Linked DNA regions of Caenorhabditis elegans. The protein of the gene in region 1 binds, or shares a complex with, the protein of each later gene. Each region holds a gene or a part of one and is shown on either strand. Other genes may lie near its edges. The genes, in order: lin-54, lin-35, lin-9 and lin-53.

Region 1 (7,434 bases):
AAAAAACTTTTTTTGGTTTTTTTAAATGGGTTTTTTTTAAACTTTTTAAAATACAACGAGTTTTGTTTTTTTTAATGGAAAAAAAGTTTTTTGAAAGAGCAAACGGCTTATTTTGGAAAAAAGAGGTTTATTTTTCGGTTTTTAGGTTTTACTTGGATTTTGAGGAATTTTTTTCAGACTTTTGAATTTAAGAAGCGAAAATAAAATTAGTTTTGTGTTTTATTTGAAATTTTAGAAAAAAAAATTCAGAAAATGTTTTTTGGTCCGTCCGATGAACTTTTCTTGAAAGAAAGATTTTCAAAATCATTCCTATCCACCTCGTGTTGTTGTGGTTTGAATTCCCATCTCATACTCGACGGAACATCAGAATTAAATTGTACTCGAATGAGACGATCCTCGCATTTCTTCATATTTGCAATCTTATCAAAGTCCTTCGCCACCTGTGTAAGCCCGCCGAACGAAGTTTGCTCGCAGAAAATTCGATAAGCTGGAATTGCAGCAAACGTGCATCCAATTGCTACAATTACAAGGCTCATCACATAATATGTGTAGTTTCGCGTGTCAGCTGACTTATCGACAACTCTATTCGGCTTCTGAAATAATTTTTTTTGGAGATTTGGAAGGAAAAAATATTATTTAAAGGTGGGGTACCGAAATCTGGGAAATATTTTTAAATAACTCCAAATTTTCCCCTGATTCCGAATATTTAAATGAGAAAAATTCAAAAAAAAATCCCCAGATTTTATATTTCAGCTTGAAATCGCGATTTTCATTTGTGCCCCGGTTTCTTTTTTCAAATACGCGCCGAAATTGATTATCCTTGGAGCGCGTTTTCCTCATTTAATTTTCTCCATATATTTTTTTTTTTTTCAGTTTTTCAGCTATTTTCATCCATTTTTGCCGTATTTTATCGTTTTTTTTTTGAAAAATATATTCTTTCGTGTAAATTTTTTATTGCCATAAAAATGAATGAAAATAGATGAAAAACTGAAAAAAGTAAAAATATCTGAAGAAAATTAAATGAGGCAAACGCGCTTCAAGGATAATTAATTTCGGCGCGTATTTGAAAAGAAGAAACCGGGGCACAAATGAAATTCGCGATTTCAAGCTGAAATATAAAATCTGGGGAATTTTTTTGAATTTTTCTCACGTCAAAATACAGAACGGAGTTTGATTTCGGTGATTAAAAAGTTGGAAAAATTGAATTTTCCAGAATTTTACAAATAGAGAATTTTTTCAAAATAAACTTCGAATAGCCTTAAATATTTAAAACTAATTTCTGAATCCATTTACAGTATTTATTTCCGAAAACCTTACTTTCGAAAATCCTCTCGCAATCTGAAAACTAATCACATTCGAATTCCTTTGTAGTGATGATAAAGTTGCTAACGGAGATTTTGTTGCAAAAAAGGAGTAACAGCTCCTCGCAGGGCCCCATAACCTGGATAAAGACATCTGAAAAATCGATTTTTTAATACTTTTTCTCAATTGGAACTATAATAATTCAGATATATATGGCGCATTTAGTAACCATAGAATCGAGAAATTAAACAAGAATGAATAATTAATAAAATCATTTAATTTCATCTAACTTTGGTTTTTTAGTTTTCCGCTTTTCAGGCGGTGCAAATGGGTTAAGCTTCTCGTAGAATGTTTTCAGCATGGCGACAGATCGTTCCGACCAAATTCCAGCCACAATTTGCACATTATCCTCCATTCGGTACTTCTCCGCACTTCCAACACTCCGTACACCTCCGAATCGTGGATTTTCGGCTCCATACACCATTTTTCGAATTCCCAGCTGATACATTGCCGACGAGCACATTATGCAGGGCTCCAGGGAAACGTAGAGCGTGGATTTTTTGAGCAGATCCTCGCAGCCCGTTCCGTGCTCTTTCCACATTTCAGTGACTGCTACCATCTCAGCATGCCTTGTCGGATCACCGGTCTCGTTCACACGATTCCGACCTCTTCCAATTTCTGTTCCATTGACCACAAATACACATCCAACTGGAACTTCATCTTCATCTAAAGCTTCTTGAGCCAATTCGAAGGCTTTTTCCAGAAATGCAGTGTCCTCGGCGCTCAGCTCGTTTTCTGACATTTCTAATAAATTTTCTAGGTTTTAAAGGTGTACTAATTCGCATTTTAATTATTTTTTGCACAATAAAAATTAATTTTAATTTTAATCGCAGACCAGCGATGCATATTGTGCGCCGAAACACTCCTGAATAGCTTTGTTTAAAATAGGAGCGTGTTTCGGCGCACAATACGCAATTAAAATTTAATTTAAACTTCTGAATCAAAAAATCAAACATTTCTCGAAATAATTACTTTGCTGGGAACAAATGTGCAACTATGCTGCCAAATAATAAAAAAAAGACACAAAACTTCATAAATATAACACAATAATTTCTAAAATTGAAGAGACGCAGGTGAGTTAGTAAAAATGAAACAAATTTTTCTGATCATTTTTTATTTGACAACTTTGAAAGAAGGCAACTTGTGAATCTGTAAAAGCATTGAGAGGAGGGGAGGAAGGCAAAGAATGTGTGAGAGGTGAGATCATAAAAGATCGCGCAACTGTGATAAAATTGATAATAATTTTAATGCGAATAGTTAAGAAGTACTAGTAGATGGTCCTGGGATGTCATCCGTTGGAGCGGCATCAAGATCTTGTGTGAGCTCAGTTGTGTTTGTGATCATTTGTTCGAGACAGCGGCCGAATTCACGAAGGACAAGCTTCTCCATATTGATGAGTTTTTCGTCTTCGGTTTGCACTTTTTCGTAGTTTAACTGCAAAGAAAAAAAATTAAATTCAATAGGAAACCAATTGATTTTCCAACTAACAGCTTCTTCAGCTTGAGCAACCATGCACATAGTGGCTGCCTCAACGACTTCATCGGTCATATAGTACCACGGGAAGCGTCTAGGATCCATCTCGACCTTCGGTTTATGCGAAAGAAGCATATCCTCGTAGTCGTCTCCATGCTCATCGGTCACCACACTTCCCGGACCAGAATCTGGAGTCGCTGTGCTGGAAGCGTTGGTCAATGACATCAGGGCATTCGTATTGGACACGGCACCACCGGAGTTCTGAAATTAAAATTTGAATAAGAAATTAAATTTATTGCAAGAATTGCGGTATTTTGAACGTATAGAGATCCAAAATATGATTTTTTTAAATTTGAAAAAGGTGAAATTTGAGCTAAAATATTCAATTTTGGCCACTTTTCCGCGTCGAAGCGGTCGGAAATTGACATTTTTAAAATTATCATCTTTTATTGCATATTTTGGTATTTTATCTAACGTTTTTTTAAAAATTTCATCAATTAAAGTACATTTAAGGCCGAGAGGTGACCAAAAATGATCGAAATTGGTTACCGATCAGCTTTAAATGTACCTTAATCAATGAAATAACGTCAGATAAAATACCAAAATATTCAATAAAAGATGATAATTCAAAAAAAGTCAGCTTCCGACCGCTGGGACACGGAAAAGTGATCAAAATTAGCCTTTTTCGGAATTTTGAACTGCCAAACAAAACTTGTTAATTTGAGCACATTTGTTAGCCTATACGTTCGAAAAATCCAGAATCGTTACTCCATTTTTTAAACTGAATTATAGGAAATTGCACCTTGTATCTTGTCATTCTGTATGTTTCAGTATTCTGACATCCTTTGCACTTGCATCGATCGGTACACGGAACCTTTGCTTCATAACACTCACAATAGTTTTTCAGACAACCACTCTTTTTACAGTGACATCCTTTCTGATGAAGACGTTCGATGTCGGTAATACCTCCACGAGCAATACCAATTTTTGGCTTGAAAGCGTTCGGATTTCGCTCAAGTGACTGACGGATGGCTTTTGAACGCTGACTGTCGTATTCTATATTATTGTGACAATCCTTGCAATTGCAGTCACGACAGAACTCTCCATTGGCGAAACAATCACAGTAGAGCTTGAGGCATTGAGATTTCGTGCAATTGCATGGTTTCCGCTGGCCAGGTGCAAATACTTTTCTTGAAAAATAGAGGAATTAGTGAAAAGTTACAAAATTTGAGTTCTTTACTTTTTAGTTTTCAATCTAATATGACTAACGTGATCTTTCATATCGATGTAAACTTTTCGCTGTTCAGAATTTCCCATCTCCAAGCCCATTGGTTGCACTGTTCTAGCTTAAATAAAATAATTATTAGGACAAAAGATCTCTAGTTTACGAACGTAATGAAGCGGGCTGTCGATCGTACATTGAAGGTGAACCCGATAAATTGGACAAATTCCGCACAGTGTACTGAGACGATCCGGGAGTGCTGGGCCCAGGCTGAAAAAGCTTCCAAAGAGGTTAGTCAATTCGTAAAAAATCGAAAATTTTTAAAATTACTTTTCGCTGAACTGGTCTCGGAGGGGGGACGTAGACGCGATGCGATGATGTATCAATTGGTTCGTCTTTGACCAATCCCTGATTAACTTCCATTGATCGATTATGCTGTTGAATCATACTCGAGGTTCCCGGACGATTTTGCTGCGCCTGTAAGTTCTGAGAAAAGTTTATTTTTATTTCGAATTGAAAACAAATTACTGGATTATGAGGCACAAGCTGTCCATTAACTTCGATAAATTCGGCACCTTCTTCATAATTATCGTATATCTCCGATTCGTCGTAATAATCATCGTCGTCTTGATAAACGATTTCTCCTTGATTCATTGTCAACACTGAAAATACTGAAAAATAACTAATCAGGAAAACAATGTTTTAGCATTTGGAAAGAGATTAAACGAAAAGAAATTAAGTTATCTTGCCAGAAAATTCCCAACAAAAAAAAAAGAACATCGTTTTGAGGATGAAATACAACTTATTTACGTTCCTTTTTGAACCAAAATTTCATTTTTCGCCGTCTAAATACTTTCAAAAATGTTAAATTAGTAACTTATTTCTTGAAAATCAATAATTCAATAAGATTTAATATTAATAAATTTAAAAAACACCCAAAAAAAGGATTAAAAAATTGTTTCGCGCGCCGAAATTTGATTAAACAAAAATAATGCAAGTGCGCTCCACAGTTAATGTTGTTTGAAAATTGACATCGACAATTCGCTGCGTAGCGACGCAACAACCATTGTGATACGGAGTCAATTCGCCGGCGCCAAGTCCTCGCGACGAATTTTTTCTCACTTTTGTCACCGCCGGTATCCCTGGTAGACGTCACTCATCATGCCACCAAAGTTCGACCCAACTGAGATTAAGATCGGTAAGTTGCTCATTTTTGTGCACATTTAATTAGGTATTTGACGTATTATGCGTGATTTTCAATTTGTCAAAGATTTCATCATCGTGATTTTTGAAAAACTCTTTTGCATCATTTTCACTTTTCAGTGTACCTCCGTTGCGTCGGAGGAGAAGTCGGAGCCACCTCCGCTCTTGCCCCAAAGGTCGGACCACTTGGATTGTCTCCAAAGAAGATCGGAGAAGACATCGCCAAGGCCACCCAAGACTGGAAGGGTCTTAAGGTCACCTGCAAATTGACCATCCAGAACCGTGTTGCCAAGATCGACGTTGTCCCATCTGCTGCTTCCCTCATCGTCAAGGAGCTCAAGGAGCCACCACGTGACCGCAAGAAGGTCAAGAACGGTACGCATTTAATGCGTTGGGTCGGGAGTCGATATGCTCTCATCCCCTGGTCTCTTACTTCATAAGTTTGTAAAAGTTTGTGACTTAAAGACTAGTAACCTAAGTGATTTTCATGCTCCGTGAGTTTGATTTTTCCTGGGTTTGGTGTTGTCTCGTCCCAACGGGTTGTTTAATCAATCTAGTTTAACGTTTTGCACGTTTCCATTTCAGTGAAGCACAATGGAGACCTCACTGTTGACACCATCATCAAGATCGCCAGAATCATGAGACCAAGATCGATGGCCAAGAAACTTGAAGGAACCGTCAAGGAGATCCTTGGTAATATTTCGAAAACGATAAACTGTTTCTAAATATTGTATTTTTTCAGGAACAGCCCAATCCGTTGGATGCACAATTGATGGACAACACCCACACGACATCATCGAGTCGATCGCCAATGGAGAGATCGAGATCCCAGCTCAATGATCTGTCACTTGTTTTTGTTGTTCCAATAAATTCTTGTTACTATCTGCGTGTATTTTGATAAATATCTCAATAAATCATGCAAGACGTCTAATTTAGAATTTGTATCGAAAGACACTGGTGTTGGGATTCATTTGTTATCTATTTCTGGTAAAAGAACTCGTGCTTCGTCGCTTTTCGAAATCGATTTTTGCGTGGAGAGAAACTGCGCTCTGATGAATTTTTTCTTCAGTTTATTTTATTTTAAAATATTTTCGCTTCATTCAGAAATGGCCTCGTGTGAATCAATGTGCCCAGTCGCTGAAATAAATTTTCGAAGCCGGAATCATCTGATAGATCAATTAGAAGCTACTGCATCGACTAGTTCAGGACCCCGGTCAAAATACGTTGCAGATCCGACGAAAATGGTCAAAGAGTACTCACGATCAGCTGCTGACACCCATAAATACAACAAACCGGAACTATTAAGGCCTTTTCCCGTTCTACAACACACAATAGACTATCTTCTGGATTTGTACAGTCCGTTTAAAGGTGAGTGTCATGTTTGGTGTTGTGGTAAATGCTCCAATTATGGTGCAAAACGTCTCAGCTCAGTCACCGCCGACGCACCTTGTTTTCACGCATTCTCGGTCAGTTTTCTCGAGATTCAACGCGTCCAGAAAGTGTGCTATATAGAAATAAAGAGTACTTTATAAGGGCCATACACGGTTTAATTTACCCCGGCTATGGTAGTTTAACGGTGCTACAAATGATTTAATTTTTTTTCCTTAAAAAACTTTATTGATTTTTCATCAGACAGGCGGTCAGCGATCACTTCCAAACAATTCGCATCGATTTTTTCGTTTGTTTCGGATCGTCTACGATCAATTCGACAGGATATGATTATGCAAAACTTGCGTGGAGATTTCACTGTAATTCTTATTGAGGTTGGAAAAATAAAAAATTTGAGAAGAAAAGATCCTTAAAAACTATAAAATTTTGCAGAAAATGCTTCCATTCTACATAGAAACTGACGGAGCTTGCAAGATGGCAAAATGTCAGAGTTATGACCCGAAATTGCACGATTTTCAGTTGGAAGAGTGCTTTGGAAGGTAGCTGGACGGCAAATCAACGTTCTTAATCAAAAAGAAATCTGAAAATATTCCTTTTTTGTTGGAAAGTTCAAGAAATGCCTCAATTAGTGCCTGAAAATCTCCTTTTCCAGGTTTTTTTTTATTTCGAAGTAAATTGAAATAAATCGAAAAAAACCTGAGAATGGCCGTTTCAGATACTTTGAAGTCTTTTTTTGAAATTTTCAACCAGAAAGTCGTATTTTCAGGTTGAACGAACATTTTTAT
Region 2 (7,759 bases), on another chromosome or scaffold:
TCGCTAGCTGTGAACAAGAGCAGATTTGCAAGAGCGGTCTGGAAAATATTAAAGATTTAACAGCATATTTTTTTGGAGAGAACAGTCAGAATAAAGTGAAAAATTTACCTTGACTTGGTGAACAAAAACTTGTTCAATTTTGCTTGCTAAAGCGGATAAATCCTTTTCTTCATTAATTAATGCTTTTCGAACTTCATTCAAACCATTTTTGAGTTCTTCTTTTATTCTTGTCAATGATAAATCAATCTCGTGTTTTGATACTGCATTGATTAGTTCGATAGTTAATGGAAGAAAGTCAAGTCCAGGAATCACATAGCGGCAGGTTGAGATTTTTCGAAAATATCTATCAAGAGCCCGGACGACAATTGAACAGTCTTTTGCATCACTTGATGATAGAAAAACTTTTGAAACCAAAGCATGCAGAGAATTCATTTCCGTCTGTAAAAAAACTTTAATTTAATCCAAATCGTTTTTAAATTAACAAACCTTCAAAACCGTAATAAGATCTTCTCGTTTATCCTCAAATAATCGATCATGAGTTGTTGCAATCAGAGTGAGATTTGGAATAAAACTCTCAGAAGCTTTATCAACGAGATCCAAAACATCCGAATGATTTGCTGATAATTCTTTCAAATCTACTCTTAAAGATTGTTCTGAACACGTGAGCAACACTTTCTGAACTTCATCTTCATCTCTTCCAATTGTTAATAATAAATCTACAGCTTCTGATACTAATTCTGCACCAGAAGCCGGATTTCGCAGTTGATCCATTAATTGATTTTCCGTCATATCATAAATTTTCTTACTTTTTTGAAGAACTAATTGAACTGTTGGAACGTCTTTATACTGCGATAGTGACTCTTCTGCTAATTTGAACATTCGAAGAACTTCTCCATAGTTTCGCTCATCGAATTCACTCTGGAAGTTGTTTAGTTTGATGCAATATGAAAAAAAAGTTTTAAAATTAAAAATGTTACCCGCAGAACATGAGGAAGATCGAAAATATGCTTCAAACTATTCACAACTTTATACGAGCTTCCCAATTGTAGAATATCGTCACGTTTTTCGCCCAAAACTCCGTCAAGATTCCCAATTAGAGTCGATATTGTCGACATACTTCGGCTGAGAGATTTCATTTCCTGAAAATTAACATTAAAATTGTCTGATTTTATTATTATTCGAAAACTAACAGAATCGAGTTGCGTGAATTCATCTTGTATTTTTCGAACCGTATTTGTCGCAGTCAGAAATTTATTGTAATTTTCGTAGACTATTTGATGTACATCTGAATCAAGCCTTCTCACAGCTGAAACCATCTCCTCCTCTTCTTTTACTAATCCATCAAGCGACTTTTCACGGAGTAATCTGAATTAATAATATTTATCAGTGCATATCTCTGAAAACTAACTTGACGACAAATGCTTCGACATCAAAATCCGGCTTTGTGACGTCCAAAACACTAGACATTTTACATTCAATACTGAAAAATTAAAGAAAATTCAGGAAAACTCGAGAATGAAAAAAAACAGATTTGAGACACCATCAATACAAAGGGAACGAAATTTGGGGGAAATGCTGGTTGCCGAAAAAATAAGTAGAAGGTAAGATGTGTTCAACTGGAACATACATTTTCTGAATTGCAAACTCGATTTCTCTCACATTCACAATTTTTAATCACATTTAATGCTTCAGTTTTAGAAAGTTCTGAAGTATCCTCTTCTTCCTATTCAGTTTCTCAAAATCGATGGTGTCTCCAGGACGTGCACAAATGCGCTCTATTGCGAATTGTGGAACATCATTGCGCGCGCGACTAGAAAAAAATGAGCGCGTTCTTGAAAATTATTTTGCTTTCTCTAATTTTAAACGATTTCGATTACATTTTATCTGAACTTTCTTGGGTTTAATCGAATAAAAAACACAAAAATATTCTTCAGACTGGTAAAAACTTCTTCAATATGCCGAAACGAGCAGCCGATGAGCCTGGAACATCAACAACTGACCCATTTCACGAGCGTAAGCTTTAAATGATTTTATTCAAAGCGTATAATTATACTTGTCTGGAAAGTGAGGCGTTATCAAAGCTAGTTTCTCCGCCGCAGTGAATAGAAAAACTGATTAATGCAATTTGCGCAGGGTTCGATTTTTTCGAAATTTTTTAAACAGCGTTCAAGATTTTACTTGCCTTTCCATCAGGGAGAGAAATTTTTTAGAACTCAGCCTCAAATTACCGCAAATAAATTTAGATATTAATTGATTTATTTTCAGAAAGCCCATTCGATGCCGTGTTAGCCGGCACGGAGACAACGGATACAATATGTGAAGAGCCACCAGCAAAACGAATCGACTTAGATATAAAGCAAGGTATGGGGTTTTATAAATATTAAATCTGATTATTTTCTCCTTTTCAAAAATATTAAACAAAAACAAGGGTTTGCAGCCTCATGTGATAATCTAAATGACTGCTTTGTTTTACATATTAAGAGCATCCTTCGTTTTTCCAATAATTTTCTCTATGAAGATAGATATTCCCCAGTTCATTATCACCTTTATCACAACTCGCTATCATCTCCTACTTATATAGGAAATTATGAAGTTATCAAGCGCTCAGTCACCTGACTAGTTAAGAGGTCACTAACAACAATAGCTACCAATCAAGCAACATTTTTATTATTGCACACAACCACGAGCAAATGTCAAAATATACATAGAAGACAGAGTGAAATCTATTGAAGAACGTCACTTCGGACTGTTATATGTCCTGGTTCAACCACGTCACTATATGCAGGCGGCCGAGAAGTTGCACGTGGTCGGGTTGGATCTTCATCATTTGTAAACGCCGAATTGTCAGCTCCTGTTGGTTCACTCTGAAATTGTTACAGAGTTTTAGTGATGTCATAGGGAAAGAATTTTAGAGCTCATTCTGGCTCGAATTTGCTGGAAATCGGAGGTTTCCCAATAATAACCATTTTTCTGATATTAGTATTACTTTTTCGACTACAAGCGCTCCGTAACAAAATTTAGCGGGTTATTTGAAGTTAATTATAATCGCATTAAGACGTATTTATCTAATGCAGCTTATAATATAGAAAGAATAGCTTAGTTTTATATTATTGATTAATGAATAGTCGTTGAAACGGATTTCATAAAGCTTCAAAAAATTTTCAAAACTCACATTGGCAACTGTCAAAATCGGTGTCGATACGAAAGAACCACTCCTCGTTGATGCCGACGTCGTCGAACTCTCGCTATCAACAGGTTGTTGTTTTGTAGGAATCGGAGGAGCAGTTTGACTTGACATTGGTGGGGCGTAGGCGGTATATCTTGGTGGTGGTGGCATACCACTGGGACTCATTGGTGTTGGTACAATGTATTGAACATTGTAATTTGACGCCTGATGTTGAGGTCTGAACCATTGAATGAATATTCATAATTGAAATAATGGACTCACAATCTGTATGCATTTCTTCTGAGGAAGTTGTAGAGAATCATCATATATCGCATTTGGACGAGTGCAACAATAATACTAACAGTTAGGAAGAAACATGAGATTATAACCATTTCTAATTCTCCAGTTGTCATTTTTGGAACACATCCCTTCGCAGTGGTTACATCCTTTTGGTTATCTTCAAATCAGTTTCTTTATTCCGGAAAATTGTATTGAAACTAACCTGGATTGCAAATGTTATCATTGTTATCCGATAAATAAATACATGCAATAACTGCTCCCAGGATCAAGAAAAACACCCAAAATGTGTACATTGACTGAAATTGATAATTATTTCTCAAAGTGTATATTAACGAGAATATTGATGCTTCCATAATTGACTAGGAACATCGAATCTTGTGAGTTATATTTAAAACGTACTAGATATAACATGTAAGCAGTGATATAGGCAATTTTTCTACGCTTTGCACCAGTTGATAGAACAAACATCATGGCGCTTCCAATAGAAATCTCGAAAACGTAGAGCACAAATGGAGATGGATACAAAAGTCCGAATATTTGACATATCATGAGAATGGATCCGAGAATTCCAACAGCTCCCTGAAAAATGTTCAATCCTTGCTGAGATTCAAAATTTCTGAACTTACACCAATTGGAAGTCCACAAAATACCCTTGGCTCCGGTTCAGCAGCTATCCGCTGTGTTGGCTGATGTGGTTCAGCCCGTTGTTGCGGGTGCTGATACGGATCCGTCGTTTGAGAAGACTCGGTTGTCATGGTTCTTCTGGAATCAATACAATTTTCTTGGCTTATATGGTTTATAAATGCATTTGTGTGTGTCTGAGTGTGCCAACAAGAGACCTCTACGAGAGAAAAGAAAAGGAGAAGCAGAGTCGGGGAGGTGACATACGACTGATATGGTCGATGTCACGACAATATGATTCTCTTTTTCTCCCCCTTTCAATTCTTCATGTGTCGGTTGAGTAAATATTGCATGAAACTGTAGAAATGAGGGCATTGGGAGATAGAGAGAGGGACGTTGAAAATAGAGAAGAGCACTAGAATCAGCTGAGAGTATGTGGAGAAATAAAGAATGATAAGAACGTTGGAAGAAACTAGAACAATTTTGGCAGCTTAGTTTCGTCGTTACTTGATTTGTCACAATTAAATATGGATAAGTTGAGAATCAAGGATGCCAAAAAATATTTTTGACAAAAAAAAACAAAAAATTTCTTGTTCAAATTTCGTACCAAAAACAAAAAAAAATTGGATTTTATTTTTCTCGCGATTTAAAGTTAAAAATTTCGAAATTTTTTTTTGGTTTTTATGATATTTATACAATTGTATTTCTATAGAAATACCGAAAAAAAATTGGTGACTTATCGAATTTGTTTTAATTGGAAAAATATAATGGATTCAATTCGTTCTTTAAAAATTATTGGAAATTACTTTAAAATTGAAAAAATTGAAATTTTTTTCATTAATTTAAAAACTGACATCCTTGGGTCAATTCATTGCCATCTGGATAAATTTCCTTTAATATTGTAAATCATTGAGTGTTTCCAGTTGTGTAGGTCTCACTATGAAGAAACTATGAAAGAGGAAAAAGAAAATATAGAAAACCCATAAAAGTGGGAAAAAAACGGAAATTCGTGTTCTCCGTCGAAAAATATCACAATTTATGGGCTTATATGTGTGCGGGACAATGAATTCAATGTAATATTATTACTATGCACATCAATAAATTCAAATATAGCTGGTATCCACTCTTTTGGGTTTTTTCTTTTCGATATGCACCTATGGGAAAAGTATCAAATTTCAAGACAAATCAGTGGTTTTGTTCACGAGAGAATTTGCCTAGTTTCAGAAGGTTTATGAAATATCAATTAGTATTAAGAGTACACAAAATTATAGGATTTTTTGTTGAAAATTTAAAATGGTGCTTCTCCGTTTAAGATATATTTAACAAAAAATCTAACAAAATTAAATTGGTAAACGTTGATATAAAAAATCAGAAAATTGGTTTGGCATTTCAGAAAATATTTCAAGATGGATCAATCGTACTTGTTAACAGTATCAATTTTAATTTAATTTAATTTTTTTTCAAAATATAATAAATATGTTTAAAAATTCATTGATAATAAAAATTAAACGTTTTTCATAAATCAAACTTCGAAACATTTTCATAAAAAGGTAGCACAAGCAATAAGAAATGTTCTTATCACAGTCAACCTAGATGACATGAAATATTAAATGATAACTGTTTTCAGAATTCAATGGTGGAGTGCAAAGTGGAGGGCTGATTAAAAATGAATCCGAATTGACTCAAATGACAATCAAACAAGAAACAGAAGGAAACATAAATGAAGCTAGACGAGAAGAAGAAGACGAAGAACAAGATGAAGATTCCAGAACATCAATGCCACCTGCATTGGGAGAAGATGATGATTATGAGGAGGATGATGCTGATAGTTTTATTGATAAAACTAATGTAATACTATGTTTCTTCTAGTTTTACAACATAATATTTAAAATTATACGGAAAATGATGCGGATAATTTTAATTTTCATCAACACTTGAAAAAGGAAGTCTAGGACTAAGATTTTCTAAAAATTATATCAATGTCAACCTGAAAAGTTAATATCATAATCAGAAAAAAGTATTTTTATTAAACGAAAAAATGAAAAAAAAACCCCCTTTTTGCCCCTGATTGCTCAAATTAAAGTATAAAAAAGAATTTTAAACTTTTCAGACACCGCCACCATCACAATCATTTCTGGAAGGATGTCGAGCAGCTAATTTACCAAATGACATTGTTACTGGTGCATGGGAAACGTACAACCACGCGGTTCAACGGGTTTCTCTTGAGGTTAATTGAGTAGTCAACGAATGCGGGGAAGGGGTTTTTTCAAAACAAACCACTACTATATAATGTAAAAACTGAATAATTCAAGTAGCACACATAGTGAACACAAGTGTGCCTAATTAGAGCTTTCAAAATATTTTTATGTGTTCTGACAATTTTTCATTTCAAATGGCTATGAAATTTTTCACATTAAAAAATAGATATTAATCTGAAAATAGAATTTACTCTGCTGCTTCTTCTAGACAATAAAATAATTTTCAGGGTTCGGAATCGGCGTGGCAACTATCAGCAATTTACTATTATCTTCTATCAAAAGGAATAAAACGTCGTGGAAAAACAATCCGTATTCTCATTCAACCGTTTCCTGTTTCGATACTTACAATTGCCAACTCATTTGACATATCCGTTGCTGAAATGCTTGACAAAACTGCTCGATTTGTGGAAATTATACATTCCAGAAAAATTCGTCGTTATCAAGAATATATTCGACGAATTCAAGAAGGACTCGCAGTTTCTTGTGTGATATTCAAAAAGTTTTGCCGAATTTTCTGCAAAATATTCGAGGAGATCAAAGTTGGATCCGAAAATTGTCCATCTTCTCATGAACTTTTTACGGTTCTTTGGACATCTTTTCTGGTGATGAAAAGTCGAATGACAGTGGACGATTTGATTTCAAATTATCAACTTCTTTTTTCAATACTTGATCAAGTATATACCGAAATGTGTTCAATGAAAGAGGGAATAGTTCATCATTTGAATCAAAAATTTGTTGAAGATCTTCTTGAAAATGATTGTACGATTATTCGAGCTCTTTGCACACAATTTGGTGGAAGTGTTCTTGATGCACGGCACTTTTCTGATCATACTTTTAAGAAAATGGAGAAGACTGGAATTCCGTCCACTTGGAATTTTCAAGAGTTTCGAGATTTGATCATGTACGTTTTATTAGAAAATGTAATTTTAAAAACGAAAATAATACTTTCAGGAACGTTCCAAAAACGGCATATGAGAATTATCTATTGCAACGTGGAAGTATTGATGAGCGGATTTTCATTCCAAGCGTTGAGGACTTTTCAAAAATTTTCCAATCCCCGGACACATACTCAGTAGCAGATATTCTCAAAGTGTCTTACTCTGGAAGACGTTTCCGTGATGCAGAATTTCTTACAAAAATCTCAAATAATCATTGTCTGGAAAAGTTGGCATTAGGTGGAAAAGTAGCATCAGAAAAGTTGGTAACACAGTCAAAAGAACAGCCGAGAGTTCCGTGTGTTGAGTATAATCTCGAATTGGGAAATTATCCAGACGATTTGGAATCGAACAATCAAAGTCTTTATAATAGATTGACAAAAATTATTGGAAGCTGGAAATTGGAGAATTCGAAACTCGAAGAGTAAGTAGCGAATCTATTTTGCACAAAAAAAAGACAAAAAAGACTTTTTTTTCGG
Region 3 (8,958 bases), on another chromosome or scaffold:
GGGATTAAGCTGAAAATTAAAATAAATTGAAGTTTTACTTTTTTTTAAAATTATTAATTGAAAATAGTTTTTTACATATCACAAACTCACATCACGAAACTGAACAAGTCCGAGCTCTCCCAGTTCAGCAACGCATTGATAGGAAGCATCAGATTGAAGGTAGAGTTGAGCCAGGCACATCTGCTCACTTCGATAGATGCCCGGTTGTGGTGGCTCCTCGCCGGGAGTCACGTAATCACCCATTCTAGTTGATTCTGTAAGAATTTCCATGAAATAATATGAAGATTTCAAAAATAAGAAGGAAAAAAAAATCAAAAACGCTTCTTTCGAGAGAAAACATTTAAGAAAAGCACGAGGCTAGGAGCGAAGGCCTCAGGACCGAAGACCAGATATTGACGGAGAGGGATCGATACGGAGCAGCACTGAGCAAGAAGAGAGCATGCGCTCAAACGTGCTCCATTGGAATATCATGAAAAAAGGGAGAGAAATCTAGAAAAAACTAAAGAAACAATTTGCGCAATCTAATCGATCAGCCGACACGTCATCGACATTAGAGCGTAATTCTCCAGGATCTAATAGCTAGACGCAGAGAAATAAACTTTCAGATGGCGAATAAGAAAACCTAAAGGAGATGAGGAAGAAATGAACAGGACAGGTTTTAAAAGAAAGAAAATGTCTGATTGTCTGCCTCATTCACCGCAATGTTTGAACACTGAAACCATTTGTAAGCAGTGTTATAGGATGGAGAAACGTAAACATTGGGCGACTCACATTTCGTGGATATTATGAAATTCAATCGATTCGATCAAAAGGTTGAGAGAAATGAAATAATTGTAGAGCAGTGGGGGAGATTGAGTGGTGATAACGCGAAAAAACGATAAGATTACGCTGCGAGAGGTCAACTTTGCACAAAAACTTCAATTTTGATGCGGAAATTGTATTAAATTTAAGAGAATTGTTTCTTTGCAAAAAGATTTTATAAATAGTGTTTCAAAGTAACATCAAACCATAGAATCCAGATCCAGAACGAAAAACGCTGACTAAAAACACTAAAGAAGAATATTGCTTTGAAGAAAAAACCTGTGAGATGTTTTCGGAACAAAGATGAGTGATTGAAGACGAAATATTTTTAATGAAAAGTTTATTCTACAATTTTAAAACTTTGCGGCCAAAATAAATTTTGGTAAACACTTAGTAGGAATGAACAATTTTATAATGTTTCTTGCCAATAAGGAGAGAAATGAATCATGAGAATGGAAAGAGAAGAACAATATAAACAAAATAATTCGTTTTAAATGCGGAAAGGAAGAAAAAAACATGTTTCACCGCATGATCTTGTGTAAAACCATGTTTAAAATTTAATGATAACCCAGGAAAGATGGAAAATCAATACAAATAAGAAATAAAACAAATAAAAAAAAAAAAAAAACTTTCACGAGAAAATCCAAAAACGGAATGTCACGACGTTCGACTGTCAAACAGCAGCTCTCCCTTTTTTCCGTTTCCCACCACATTCACTTCTCTCAGCTGTGTTCTGTTTTCCAACAGACAGCGCTCCACCGTACCTCGCTACACTGCCGCAGGGCAATCGCGTCGAGACCATCACGCTGTTTGAAATCGGCTGTTGGTTGGGGAAAAGAACCGCCATTTCAAAGTTTTTTTCGCGCGCGCGCGTCCGCATTCTTTCATTGATTTTTGTCTCGTGGTCTGAAATTATTCAAAAATTTGTTATTTTTCAGATAAAAATGTCGTCTGCGGTGAGAAGTCCGCGGAAAAAGGCAGCAAGTGACACGTCTGATCCTGTAAGTTATTGGAAATATTGATTTTATTGGGTTTTCGTGTTTTTAAAAATAAAGAAGTTGTAAATTAAAGAAAGATATTGAAAGTATGCATGACATTCGGTATTTTCAGGATCGCACCAGCTCACCATACAGTCTCCGTGAAACATCTAAAGTTCCATCGAGATATCGTAATGAAGAACTATACCTATCACCGTCTCGCAGTATCAAACGTACCGGATCTCCCAAAAAGTAACAAGCTGTTCCGAAAAAGTGGCCGACTAATCTTATGATTTTACAGATCTCCCGCGAAACGCCTGAATGGAGGTAGAGATTCTCCTTCAGTGAACTCATTGACCCGAAACTCAAGTCTAACAATGCTCGCAAAGGCAGCTCTTGATTATGAATCTTCCAGTTGTGCTTTGGAATATATTGTAAGTTTTAAAACAATTGTATTGTTGTCATGTCTCCAAGTTCCAGCCAAAAGAAGAACGACGCCCTCCACGCAGAGCTCTTGCTCTGTCTCCGCCTCCAGCACCAAGTAATGATCTTCTCGCAAAGGATCTGGAGATGATTGAGATGCATCAAAACCTTGTAGCAGGTCTTGATGATTTAGATAATCCTGCGAATATGACAAATGAAGCTGTAGAACATCGAGATACACAGTCATTCTTCAACATGTTCAGTACAGATCAAGAACGAAGTGCCATGATGAAACAATTCAAAACGTATAAAAATCAAACAAGTGAAGATGTGAGCACATTTATGAGAGCTAATATAAAGAAACTCTACAATTTGCTCCGATATAAGAAAGCTCGTCAATGGGTCATGTGCGAGTTCTTCTATTCTGCAATCGACGAACAAATTTTCAAAGAAGAAAACGAGTTTGCCACAATTATCCGCGAATCTTTCCCAAATCTGAAAAATTGGAATTTAACGCGTATTGAGTGGCGGTCGATTCGAAAACTTCTCGGAAAGCCACGTAGATGCTCGAAAGTGTTTTTTGAAGAAGAAAGAATGTACCTGGAAGAGAAAAGAATGAAGATTCGAAGTGTCTATGAAGGAAGTTATCTTAACGTAAGGCTGAAGAGGTGTATCATTTTCAATAAATGTTCTTTCAGGATCCATCGATTGATCTAAAAGATCTTCCAGCCAAGCTTCCACGTCCAATGGTGGTTGGAAATCGTGTATTTGCGAGAATTCGAAATCCCTACGATGGAATTTATTCTGGAATTATTGATGCTGTCATTCCGAAAGGATTCAGAATTATTTTTGACAAGGTTTGTAAAAGGAGACTCAATATCACCCAAAACGCCCGAATTTTGTAACGAGATGTCTTAAAATTTCGCCACAAACCTATTTTCAGCTAAATTCGTGAACTTCGCCAACTTGTCCATTTTGTACATGCTGGAATGCAATTCTTATTGCATTTTCAACAGTTATTGCATATTTTAGTGGTTTATTTCGCTTTAATTCTATGATTTAGGATCACTTTAAGTCGATAGACACCAAAAATATCAAAGTAGGATTCTTATCGACTTAAAATGTGCTCAAATCATCGAATTACTACCAAAATATGCAATAAAAAGTGTTAGGAGAAATTGACAAAATTTAATGATTTAGCTGAAAATAGGAAGTCTTTGGAAATTAAGACGTCCTATTACTATATTCGGTAGTTTTGGATCATAAATTATTTTGTTTTAGGGAAATTTGAATATTTGAAATTCTATAAATTCCAATGTTTTATTCTTTCAGCCAGATATCCCACCAACACTGGTTAGTGACACGGAAATACTTCTCGACGGAAAACTTGATTTGTTGAGTATCGCCTACTTCATTGAACAAGCCAACTCTAAGCTTCCATCAGGCGTTCGTCCATTTGTAGCAGCAGTTCGTGACTCATCACATCCACATCTTGTTCGTGACGTCCTGGTTTCTCGAAAAATCGAGAGAAGTGGTGGACCATTAATGGGACCGAACGACGAACGATTAAATGGAAAAAATGCAGAAATGGTTGGAAATTTCCCGCTGAAATTCCTTGTGAATCTTGTGAAACTGACGAAATTAATTGATATCAAAAAGGGATTGATACGACAATTGAACGAATTGAATGCGGATGCCGAGATACAAAATATGACGTCAGACAAATATTCGAAAGCTTTTCAGGTACATTTTTAATTAGAAATTTTTTTTGATATATGAAAAAGTCAACTAGATAGAATCTAAAAAACAATTTTTTTTCAGGAGAAATACGCCAAAACTATCATCGATCTGGAACATGTGAATCAGAATATAGATATCAATATGAATGGAATTCAAGATCACCATATGTATTTCTCTTCGAATGATGTAATTTTTCATTTCCTGATTCTTCGAAAGATCTATTTGTTTGCAGATTTCAACGTCAAATATGAAACCTGAAGCAGTTAGACAAATGTGCTCTCAACAAGCTGGAAGATTTGTAGAGCACTGTAATCAAGGATTAAATGTAGAGAATGTGCATGCGTTGACACTTATTCAATCATTGACAGCTGTCCTTTTACAGGTTTGTGGCACTATAGACTGCAGAATAATAATTTATTAATGAAAAAAAAAATTGAAAATGTAAAAATTCATTAGAAAATAAACTTCGGTTTTTACCAAATCCTCTTTCCTAATTTCATTATGGGACGATGCAAGTGAATTTCTCGTCATTTCTCGACACATTTTTTGCAATGCAAGTGTGCGGAGAAATGACGAGAAATGTCGTGAAATTCGCAATTTCTACGCGTTTCTCGACATATGAGATGTGTCCTCGCAGGGTGGTAAGACATTTCACCCTGTTAAAAGTGCGGTGAGTAGGCGGAGTTTCCTGCGGGGACACATGTTTCTGCGTATCTCACCGTTCATCATATGTCGAGAAATGCGGAGAAATTGCAAATTTCACGACATTTCTCGTCATTTCTCCGCGCACTTGCATTGCAAAAAATGTGTCGAGAAATTACGAGAAATTCACCACGTGTTTTCAGCTCGACCATTCGGTGTAATTTGTGCAAACACCGTCACGCGCTGCGGTGAAATTCCTCTTGGCGAATTCAAATATTTTTTCCCGCCTTTTTTGAAAATTTTCGAGGCGTTGGTCGAGCTGAATACACGTGTTCACTTGCATCGTCCCATTAGAATTAATTACAAATTACTATTTTACAAAAAAAAAACTAAAATTGTTTCCTAGAATTCAAAATTACCTGGTCATCGGTAAAACACTATTAAAAAATTTTTTTACTGCAGAAAAATATTAGAAAAAATATTATATTTTTCCAGGTTCGCACAATGGGAACTCAAAAGATCTCTGCAGTTGATCTTCAATCACTTGGTGACGCCATATCTGAAATTCGGACCGCTATTCACCCCCGCAACGTGGCATTCTTCCAAGACTACGTTGAAGTTCATATGAAACAATTTCACACAATTATGCTCGAAAGTGGAGCACTAGCTGGAACTGTATCGAACAGAAAATAACTAAAAGCGTCTCATTTTGTCCAAAAAAACGCCAACCGGTCCCGTCAGTTTTTGTTTTTCTGAATATTCTCAGTTCTCTCATCTCTGCTCTCTCTCTCTCCCCACCTTCTTCAATCACTTTGTGTCTTTTCAAAATTGTACCCGATCATGAGACACATCCCCATTTTTCTTATTTTTTAAAAGTAGTTCAACCTTGATAATTCGAATGTGCCAAAATTCTATTTTCTTCCTCATTGTCATCATCATCATCATCAGTTTTCGAGAAAAACGAGCCAAATAACGAAACCCTTGTCAGTTATACTCCACTATTTTTTATTTTACTGACTGTCTAGAAAATAAATAAAATTTTAAAGTTTCAGGTGAATTTTCATTTTATTATGTTTGCCAGCGGTGAGAAGATATTAGCCCGGACACAAAAGTGAGCGCTAAAAGTACGGTAACTGGTCACGACAAATGTCTGTTAAATACAAACGGATGTGCGCCTTCAAAGATTACTGTAGTTTTAAACTGTCTTTGCTGCGTAATTTTGATCAATTTTTATAGTGTGTTGCGCGCCTTGCTTCGTATTTGAATTCCATTCGCATTTTTTGCTGTTTTGCTGCTAATTTCTTTATTAAATTTATCACGAATGCGTTATTTCGGAGCTTCGTTGTTTCGTTTGAAAGTAAAAATAAAAATAGGAGGAATCGTGGCGAGACCCGCTCCCTACGAAATCTCATGTCCCTTTAACTTTTTGCGCCAAAAAACGAATTTCAATTTTTTTAAAAGTCATTTTTAGCTTTTTTTCTTAATTTTCTTATTTTTTAACAAAAATTTCACTGAAAACCGACAAAAATACATTTAAAACTGTTTAAAAAATTTGAAAAAATAGTTAAAATTTAAAAAATTTCTGTTAATCTTTTATGAAATTTTTGAATGTTTCAAGTACATTGATATCATTCTTATATTTAGCTGCAAAAATTAACAAAAAATCTATTTGCTTCTCTCCGTATTTCTCCATTTCTCTGGTATTGCTCCAAAATCAATTTGATTATTTTTTCAAATACAATAAATACTTTTTTCAGCATGGTAGATCAGTTGGAAGCCTCTATCGAGAATATTCTCGAACAAAAAACGCTAAAACGGATTTTTGTAGCCTGAAAAGGTGTCGGAAAGACGACAGGCAGTTGCTCATTAGCAACGCAACTCTCAAAAGTCCGTGAGAGTGTTCTAATCGTGTCCACCGATACCGCCCACAAAATCTCGGATGCCTTCAGCCAGGAATTCACTAAATTTCCAACACTGGTCGAAGGATTCAAAAATCTCTTTGTGATGGAAATCGATTCAAAACCAGATGGAGAAGACGTCGAAGTGGAGAATATGGAAGAAATGTTGCATAATGTCTGCAGTTCTAAGCTCAAGGACTTGGCGGCACTAAACCATCATCGATTGAAGTATCATATGACACCACAGGAATGCCTGATGTGCCAAATTGTGATGACTCGAGCCGATGATGTGAGGAAGCACATGAGAAATGTGCATCACATCACTCAACCGACGGTGTGCTCGTGTTGCCATCATACCTATCTTTCGTTGAAATCCGTTCATGCACATAGAAACTCTATAAAATAAGGAACAATGGATTCTGAGATACCGATCGCAAAATCGACAAATGCCCGCTTCTGTTTTCTGGCACCGCCTGCCAAAGCTGTTGTGCAAATTAGAGGAACGCCTCAACGAACACCTTCACCACACGTGGAAGAGCCGAAAACTCCTGTCCTGCGACTTTTGAGAAGCTCGCAGAGAAATAAACATCAAAAGTTCCATGTACATTAAATAGAATTTTTTTTTACTTAAATTTTCATCTTTTGTTTTGAACTTTATGCTTGTAACACTATTATACTACTAGTCAATACTAGTTCGCCAAACTTTCCCATCACTTTTTAACTCTGTTACATAATACTTTTGCTTCAATGAAACGGGGAAATGATTTTATTTTTCACATTTTATTCGTGTTCCAATGGTTTTCTATTTCCTTCTTTTTCTTCTTTACTGTTTTTCAAAAAATATTTTCCAGATGAAATGTGGATTTTTTGTTCTCAAAAAAGTGCAATACGCGACGTTATTGTTGTCATGTCTTCAAGTTTCAGCCAAAAGAAGAACGACGCCCTCCACGCAGAGCTCTTGCTCTGTCTCCGCCTCCAGCACCAAGTAATGATCTTCTTGCAAAGAATCTGGAGATGATTGAGATGCATCAAAATGGCCTTCATTCCGAGGGGACAAACTTTTAGGGTGGCAAGGTATTTTTGGGGACAAAGTATCCAAAGTGACATGGTATCCAGTCGACAAAGTGCCATTTGTCTCTGACCGGGCGTATCTTCGGTGACAAACTTTTTCAACTAGTTTTTTATATATATTTCTCAATCGATTTTTGTTTTTTTTTCACTGGAATAAGTTTTTAAATGCAATTTTCCATGGATTTTCGGCCTTGACTACTCACAATTGAATGTATGAACAATGATCCCTCCTGATGATCTGATTATTCAGCTTCAAAGGATCAGAAGGGTACCTCCTGGTGATCTGATCCTTCAGCTCCGAAGGATCAGAAGGGTACCTCCTGGTGATCTGTTCCTTCAGCTTCAAAGGATCAGATGGGTACCTCCTGATGATCTGATCCTTCAGCTTCAAAGGATCATAAGGGGTATAAAAGCAATAAATCAAGCATAGTTGATCAATTCTCCGTGATAACAAACTTTTGGGTGACAAAGTATCTTAGCGGACAAACAAAAATTACCGGAAACTGATATATTCCAAATATATTTCAAATATATTCCAAATATATTCCAAATATATTCCAAATCTATTCCAAATATATTCCAAATCTATTCCAAATGTATTCCAAATATATTTCAAATATATTCCAAATATATTCCAAATATATTCTGACGTCCTTTTGGCACGCATCATATTTTCGATCGTGAAAGTTTTGAAACGGTTTTATTTTACAAGTTTATAATTTTGGAAACAGAAAATATATTTATATAAGTTTTAACAGCTGCGGTGTGTGTTTCATTAACTTCCAGCTTCTGCCAAATGAATGTTTGGAATTATCCAAAGCCTTTTTTCACCATTTTTATAAAAAATCTGAACAGTGAGTACAGATTTGGTCATATCTCTGTTCCCTGGTACGATAATAACACAATTTCGCACAGAAATTGAGAAAAAGATTAGTAGAATAGGAAATATATTTGGAATATATTTGGAATAGATTTGGAATATATTTGGAATATATTTTAAATATATTTGGAATATATTTGAAATATATTTCGAATATATTTGGAATTGATTTGGAATATATTTGAACTAATATCAGATTAAGACTGAATATTTGACAACTCATGTTTATTGTATAAATTCAAATTTCAAAACTGCAGAGAATGGGATATTGCACGTGGCTATTTGGTAATTTGAATGCAGAAAAAATTCCAAGGAATATGAAGTGGACCAAGGAAAATAAATTGGAAATAGCAACTTGAACATTAGGAAACGGGGCTAAGTGAATTGAAAATGAAATCACATGAAAAATAATACGAAGGTAAAATTACTCCAAAATCATTGTATCTCCAACTGCCATCCCCTCCATGGAGGCTCCATGGCCCTCCATTCTCAGGATCCATAAGTCTGGTTAAAAACAAGCTCGTAA
Region 4 (6,564 bases), on another chromosome or scaffold:
CTGAGAAGTTGAGCTGCTACTGAATTTTCTGATGGTGTCTTTCCAGCATGCATGAAAAATCCTCCCGTTTTGCGACCAATTGCCTCAATACATATTGCCAAGTCAACACGATCATCTGAAAACCCTTCAAAACCGGTAAAACGACACTCTCCTTTTACTGCATTACCTTTTCTAGAAAGTCCAGATTTGGCATAATCAGCGCTGTCAAAGCCTTTCTGGTACTCATCGATCCAGTGACGAGTTCCTTGATAATTGAGCTTTCCAGCTGCTGTCCAAATGAACAAAATATTGTATGGAGGACGTGTGCTTGGAGAATCATAGAATTTTGACAGAACAGCAAGCAATTCGAGAAGTGCAACTATACCAGACCCATTGGAATCAGCGCCAGGCGAGACTCCTGGAACGGCCGATTGTGTGTCATAGTGTGCCACAAATGCAATCGTAGGTGCAGCACGATCTCCACTACTCAAGCGACCAACAATATTCAGTGGTTTGTATGAAGGTGGAAGTTCTGGACTTTGATCGGAAGAAGTGATACTGATTGTGTTTCCGGAAAGTGATTGAAGCAAATGTTGCAGGGCTGTGGGAGCTTTTTCCGAGCGAGTATTGACATCGTGAAGAATAGAAACGGCGTCATCATTGAAAGGAGCCACATAAACAGCCAAGTCGGTCTTTGCGCTCAACAACTTTGCTTCAAGATCGATGAATGCCTGAATAATGAGCATAAATAACTTTTATGGCAATATGAAATTAAATGTTCAAGCTAACCTTCCGATCAATATCGTTAAGTTCATCAAGATTGTCGGGAATGAAAATAAGCACGGCACCGGTAGAAAGTGCCCACATGTCATCGACATCTGTTGTAAGAAGATCTCGCCATGTTGTAACCATAGTTCTAGATATTAAAATATTACTATTTACAAATGAAATATCCAAAAAAACCTGCGAAGAGTTCTTGCACCCAAGGAAACAGCTTCATATGATACGCGATAATTTTTGCATCCATAAATGTTACCACTGATTTCGTATTGATGAAGACGGTACGCATGAAACTCGGTTTCTACGACTTCTCCAACTTGCTGGGACCCGTTCACCTAAATATGGAGAGTTCATCTTCTAAATCATTACCAACAACTTACTACACAAATGGTTAACATTAAAGTCATGTAGAAAAGAAGAGCCGGACTTCGGAAAAAATCGATGATTTCATCCTGCATCTGAAAAAAACATATCTTAAGCTCAAAATCACGAGAATCCTGTGCAAATTAGGATGAAAGATCTTTCGGAGTAGGAATTATTTAATAACACAAACTATCATGATTCTACAGAAATCGATAGAATTAAACCAGAATTGATGATATATAATACCCGAGTAGGGAGAAAACTGCATGAGTTTTCTGAGCGGAATTCAAATGAGCCAAACATGCTCTACCGTACCTTGCAACAGCGGTGAAGGCAAATCGTTGCGAGACCCCTCCCCGCGAAAACCGCGACGCGCACACACTTTGAAAGTGGGTTTTATCGGTCTTCTACAGTTTTGGTCACTTTCCCGCATTAAAATTCTCTGTTTTAATATATTTAAATTCAATTGAATTAATATTTTATTATTCACCCCTTCTTTGTTGTATTATTTTATCTAACTACACTGTTTGAACGATAATTATTCTTTGCAAAAATTGAAAATTTCAGGAAATGGCCACTCTTGAAGATGGAACCTCCGAAGATCGCGTCGCAAATGATGAATACAAAATTTGGAAAAAGAACACCCCGTTCTTGTACGATCTCGTAATGACACATGCGCTTGAGTGGCCTTCACTCAGTGTTCAATGGCTCCCAGACGTTGCGAAGGTATGTGTTCTCATATAATTCACAACTTTCATGAAGTGAATTCAAATAATTTAGGATAACAGCGACCATACTATTCATCGGCTCATTCTTGGAACTCATACTTCAGATGAGCAGAATCACTTGCTTATTTCTAAGATCTGTATGCCAACGGATGATGCCCAATTTGATGCATCTCGCTACGATACCGAGCGCAGTGAATACGGTGGTTTCGGAGCTGTTAACGGAAAAGTGGAACCCGATATTCGCATTAACCACGAAGGGGAGGTTAACAGAGCTCGTTACATGCCTCAAAAGTCGAATATCATTGCTACAAAGTCTCCACATGCTGATGTTTACATTTTCGACTATTTAAAGCACTCTGCTGTTCCTCGTGATAACACGTTCAATCCGCTTATCAGACTGAAAGGACACACGAAGGAAGGCTATGGATTATCATGGAATCCAAACAAAGAAGGTTTGATTCTATCAGCGTCAGATGATCAGACAGTTTGTCATTGGGATATCAACGCAAATCAGAATGTTGCCGGGGAATTGCAAGCGAAGGATGTTTTCAAAGGTCACGAGTCAGTCGTTGAAGATGTTGCTTGGCACGTTTTGCATGATGGTGTCTTCGGATCGGTTGGTGACGATAAGAAATTGTAAGCTTTTGTTTTTTTTCTATTTATTAACTAATTAAAAATTATAGGCTCATTTGGGATGTGCGCACAAGCACTCCTGGACACTGTATCGATGCTCATTCTGCCGAAGTTAACTGTCTCGCATTCAATCCATATTCCGAATTCATTCTGGCCACCGGATCAGCTGATAAAACTGTCGCTCTTTGGGATCTACGTAATCTACGAATGAAACTTCACTCATTTGAATCACATCGTGATGAAATCTTCCAAGTTCAGTGGAGTCCACACAACGAGACTATTCTTGCATCCAGCGGTACTGATAAACGTCTTCATGTGTGGGACCTATCTAAGATTGGAGAAGACCAATCTGCCGAAGACGCGGAAGATGGTCCACCAGAGCTGTTGTTTATTCACGGTGGGCACACCGCCAAGATCAGCGATTTCTCGTGGAACCCGAACGAGCCTTGGGTTGTGTGCAGTGTGTCAGAAGACAATATTCTCCAAGTGTGGCAAATGGCTGATAACATATACAACGAAGTTGACGAAGAAACTCCAGCCGATGTGGTAGAGAGACAACAGTAAAATACGTGAAACGCGCTTAAATTATTTGTATTTAACTTCTATCCTTCTTTAATTTTGCATCTCAACAAATTGTTCATCTTACCATTTATTCAAACGCATATTCTTCACCAACTAAGTTTTTAAAGTTAAAATGTTACCTTGAGATATGATCATATTTTGTTGAACCTGAAATAAATTCGATGACCATTGTCAGATAACTGTTTTGAAATATTATGTTAACGTGATTGTTGTGATAGCTCAGATTGTGATATTTTTGGTTTTTTGTTGTATCTTTTGTTATTTCAGGCAATTTCAGAGCACAATGAGTGAAGCTGAATCGTGTGAAGAAACGAGTAAAGAACATAGAATTTGGAAGAAAAATGTTCCATATCTCTACGATACAGTCGTCACAAAAGAGGTCGAGTGGCCTTCTTTATCAGTGCAATGGATGCCTGATGTCACAAAAGTAAGAATCGGTAAATATGATTTCGCCTTCTTCATTATTTTTTTAAGACAGAGAACTCGGATTCATCGATGCATCGAATGATTCATGGAACACATACTTGTGGAGGAGTTCAGAATCATCTCATGATCTCAAAGTTCACAATAACGACAGACACACCAGAATTCGACGACGCTAAATGGGATTCGGAACGTGAAGAGTTCGGAGGTTATGGAGAGGGCAGCGCTGCAAAATGGGATACTGAGATTAAAATCAACCATCCAGGAGAAGTTCATAGGGCACGTTACATGCCACATAATCCTTTCATTATTGCAAGTCGAGGTCCTTCTGATGACGTTTATATTTTCGACTACACGAAGCACCCATCTGAACCAAAAGACACCAAATTTCGACCTCAATTGCGATTGAAAGGCCATGAAGGCGAAGGATATGGAATGTCGTGGAGCAACACCAGAGAGGGACATTTGCTAACTGCCGGCGATGACGGAATGGTATTTCTAACAAAAGATATACATAAATATACATTTTTTAAGATTTGCCACTGGGATATAAACGCGAATCAGACCATTTCCGGTCAAATAGTGCCACAAAGCAAGTTTAAAGGTCATTCATCAAATGCGGAGGATGTTTCTTTTCACGCGCTCCATAATTTCGTTTTTGGATCTGTTGGAGATGATAGAAAACTGTAAGTATAAATACATCATACCATTCTGTCGAGATTTCAAAATAATTTTCACGTCTTTAGAAACCTATGGGATCTGCGTCAATCAAAGCCACAGCTCACAGCCGTCGGACATACTGCAGAAGTTAATTGTATTACTTTCAATCCGTTTTCCGAATACATTTTAGCAACCGGATCTGTTGATAAAACGGTTGCTTTGTGGGATATGAGGAATATGCGCAAAAAAATGTACACGCTGAAACATCACAACGACGAAATATTTCAAGTATCGTTCAGCCCGCATTATGAAACTGTTCTGGCTAGTAGTGGATCGGATGAGTAAGTTTTTTCCTAATAAGTTGTATTTGTTTAACCTATGAAATTTCAAAAATTTCAGTCGGGTTATCGTTTGGGATATTTCTAAAATTCAAGACCCATCGTCTTCATCAGCTGCATCATCTGATTCTGTTCCACCAGAAGTTATTTTTATTCACGCTGGGCATACTGGAAAAGTTGCAGATTTCTCTTGGAATCCCAACCGCCCATGGACTATTTGCAGCAGCGACGAATTTAATGCATTACAGGCAAGAATTATTTTCAAAAAATTAATCATAACTATTTAATGGTTTTTCAGGTGTGGGAAGTTTCAAACAGTTTAGTTTCGTCGGAAAAATGGGAGACCGAAATGATTTAATCGTCTAAATTGCACTTTGTCGAATTTTACTAATTTTCTCACTTCTGATCTTTGAATGTAAAAATCACATTCCTATCAATGAACGTTTTTTCATTTTCTTTCATATTGTGTTCATCTATTCAGAATTAATTTCTCAGGTTTTCTCTGCCACTAAATATTTACTTTGAAAAATAGTGTGTTCACAATGGGGCGCACTTGCGAAACCATGTTTAGTCGGTTTACATTGCTTATTTTCTTACGATAAGGAATATATTGATTAAACATATTTCAAGGTTATCCAGAAAGAAAATGTTGAGAAATTGGAGACTTTTGGTAAGAAGTTTTGCAACAAATTCAAGTGAGGAAATCGCTCCGAAGGTTGATGTTAGTTTGTGAGTTTTCATTTTTTGCATGTTCAAAAAACAAAAAAAAACATTTTTTTAGTCTACGTCCCCGTCATCGAATCATTGCTGCTGGTGGGATGCCACCGGTTCAATTTGATTCTGAGCGTGAACGAGCATCTCGTCGTGAAAGATTCGGAAAATATGGTCTAAAAAGTGGTGTACCAGTTGAAGAGCTGTTCCCAACAGCTGAAGAAATTGAGGAAGAAGAAGCCATTGGATTGTTCAGAGAATTTAATAATGCTAAGAAAGAATACAAAGAACTACAGAAAAAGAAGAGGGAATCAGAGTTAGCGAGGTATACTTTAATTGTAATTTCAAAATTAGCAACATTTTAAAACATAACTTTAAAAAATTTAGAATCGTTCGATAATTTTGCTTCAATTTTGCGAAAATAGGGCAAAAATTAATTGTTTTTGAATTTCGTGCAAGTGGCTGACATGCACGAAATCGGCTTTCCTTGATTTTTTTCTTCAATATTTTATTTGAAACACCGTTTGTCAAATTTTCGGACAATTATATGTTTAAAAAATTAAAAATAGAATTATCGATTTTTAAGACATTTTTGAAATTTTAGTCTTTGCGAATTCTTTACACAAAAATGCCTGAAAAATTTACAAATATGTCATCTGAATCCATTTTCAGAATTGCTGAACTCGAGAAAAATCTCAAAAAGTATCCTGCAACACTTGCAAAATATGAAGCTTCATTGGTTAAACAAGAACAAGAGAAAGACGAAAAGGAAGTAGCACTTGAAAAACGAATTCGTGACATTCAAGAATACTTTGGATATTGGATGGATCCAAAAGATCCAAGATTCGAAGTGATGCTACAGCAAAAAGAAGCAGAAGAGAAGAAGGCTGTGAAAATGGCAAAGCGGGACGAAATTCAGAAGAAACGATTTGCAGAGAACGTTCAGGGATAATATATTTGTCAGATTTCTTAATTTTTCCTAGTTTTTCCTTTTGTCTTTTTCTAGATATAGTTTCTTGTTTTTGTTTTTATTTTCTTCCAACATTATAAATATTTTCAAAAAACCAATGCTCATTTTACCTTTCAATTATTGCCATGGTAGTCAAGCCTATTATTTGAAATCCTCATTTAAAGATTTCTTTTGACGATATAATTAATCCATATTTTCAGCTGGGATGAATCCAACATTTTTAGAATTCATCGGTGCCAATCAACGATCCAGTTGTGGATATTGTAAAAACGATCGCGGCGAACGAACTCCAGCTCGTTCCGCAAAAAGTTAGTCGGATTTCCTAATTTCTGTTGTTGTTTGAAATTAATTCTGATTTTTTACTAACAAACTACTGTTTCCCATTTCCTAAAACTTT

The links.
Region 2: lin-54 (region 1) and lin-35 share a complex: the UniProt entries of both Caenorhabditis elegans proteins name them as parts of the DRM complex.
Region 3: lin-54 (region 1) and lin-9 share a complex: the UniProt entries of both Caenorhabditis elegans proteins name them as parts of the DRM complex.
Region 4: lin-54 (region 1) and lin-53 share a complex: the UniProt entries of both Caenorhabditis elegans proteins name them as parts of the DRM complex.

Annotation. Positions count from the first base shown.
Region 1 is NC_003282.8:13,238,345-13,245,778, reverse strand, and holds lin-54 (Protein lin-54), read right to left. Parts: upstream 4,729-7,434; 5' UTR 4,712-4,728; coding exon 4,586-4,711; intron 4,544-4,585; coding exon 4,388-4,543; intron 4,337-4,387; coding exon 4,228-4,336; intron 4,182-4,227; coding exon 4,076-4,181; intron 4,026-4,075; coding exon 3,638-4,025; intron 3,097-3,637; coding exon 2,851-3,096; intron 2,797-2,850; coding exon 2,620-2,796; 3' UTR 2,378-2,619; downstream 1-2,377. Other genes in the region: cox-11 (Cytochrome c oxidase assembly protein COX11, mitochondrial), read right to left, coding at 318-593, 1,318-1,455; JC8.4 (CMP/dCMP-type deaminase domain-containing protein), read right to left, coding at 1,574-2,104; rpl-12 (Large ribosomal subunit protein uL11), read left to right, coding at 5,219-5,255, 5,381-5,635, 5,846-5,953, 6,003-6,100; tag-115 (SAC3/GANP/THP3 conserved domain-containing protein), read left to right, coding at 6,367-6,628, 6,893-7,023, 7,082-7,188. UniProt on the Caenorhabditis elegans protein: Synthetic multivulva class B (synMuvB) protein. SynMuvB proteins are required to repress the induction of vulval development by Ras signaling and probably act by forming the multiprotein DRM complex that repress transcription.
Region 2 is NC_003279.8:5,805,775-5,813,533, forward strand, and holds the start of lin-35 (Retinoblastoma-like protein homolog lin-35), read left to right. Parts: upstream 1-1,934; 5' UTR 1,935-1,955; coding exon 1,956-2,013; intron 2,014-2,265; coding exon 2,266-2,361; intron 2,362-2,646; exon of another isoform or gene 2,647-2,723; coding exon of another isoform or gene 2,724-2,864; intron 2,865-3,172; coding exon of another isoform or gene 3,173-3,404; intron 3,405-3,448; coding exon of another isoform or gene 3,449-3,623; intron 3,624-3,668; coding exon of another isoform or gene 3,669-3,762; intron 3,763-3,865; coding exon of another isoform or gene 3,866-4,045; intron 4,046-4,092; coding exon of another isoform or gene 4,093-4,221; exon of another isoform or gene 4,222-4,228; intron 4,229-5,714; coding exon 5,715-5,935; intron 5,936-6,197; coding exon 6,198-6,314; intron 6,315-6,572; coding exon 6,573-7,246; intron 7,247-7,296; coding exon 7,297-7,704; intron 7,705-7,759. Other genes in the region: vps-51 (Vacuolar protein sorting-associated protein 51 homolog), read right to left, coding at 1-38, 109-438, 487-918, 978-1,139, 1,191-1,365, 1,409-1,467; C32F10.4 (uncharacterized protein), read right to left, coding at 2,724-2,864, 3,173-3,404, 3,449-3,623, 3,669-3,762, 3,866-4,045, 4,093-4,221. UniProt on the Caenorhabditis elegans protein: Key regulator of cell division which acts as a transcriptional repressor and negatively regulates cell cycle progression in its active unphosphorylated form, but allows cell cycle progression when phosphorylated.
Region 3 is NC_003281.10:8,896,913-8,905,870, reverse strand, and holds lin-9 (Protein lin-9), read left to right. Parts: upstream 1-1,739; 5' UTR 1,740-1,745; coding exon 1,746-1,802; intron 1,803-1,911; coding exon 1,912-2,030; intron 2,031-2,079; coding exon 2,080-2,212; intron 2,213-2,252; coding exon 2,253-2,855; intron 2,856-2,899; coding exon 2,900-3,058; intron 3,059-3,533; coding exon 3,534-3,944; intron 3,945-4,022; coding exon 4,023-4,127; intron 4,128-4,173; coding exon 4,174-4,323; intron 4,324-5,078; coding exon 5,079-5,276; 3' UTR 5,277-5,633; downstream 5,634-8,958. Other genes in the region: unc-32 (V-type proton ATPase 116 kDa subunit a 1), read right to left, coding at 1-9, 91-243. UniProt on the Caenorhabditis elegans protein: Synthetic multivulva class B (synMuvB) protein. SynMuvB proteins are required to repress the induction of vulval development by Ras signaling and probably act by forming the multiprotein DRM complex that represses transcription.
Region 4 is NC_003279.8:9,614,886-9,621,449, reverse strand, and holds lin-53 (putative histone-binding protein lin-53), read left to right. Parts: upstream 1-1,689; 5' UTR 1,690-1,692; coding exon 1,693-1,848; intron 1,849-1,902; coding exon 1,903-2,486; intron 2,487-2,533; coding exon 2,534-3,047; 3' UTR 3,048-3,239; downstream 3,240-6,564. Other genes in the region: nra-2 (Nicalin), read right to left, coding at 1-124, 167-710, 769-895, 943-1,094, 1,140-1,217; putative histone-binding protein rba-1, read left to right, coding at 3,349-3,492, 3,540-3,980, 4,023-4,174, 4,235-4,489, 4,548-4,734, 4,785-4,844; K07A1.10 (Large ribosomal subunit protein mL64), read left to right, coding at 5,133-5,215, 5,268-5,522, 5,870-6,149; ate-1 (Arginyl-tRNA--protein transferase 1), read left to right, coding at 6,373-6,475. UniProt on the Caenorhabditis elegans protein: Core histone-binding subunit that may target chromatin assembly factors, chromatin remodeling factors and histone deacetylases to their histone substrates in a manner that is regulated by nucleosomal DNA.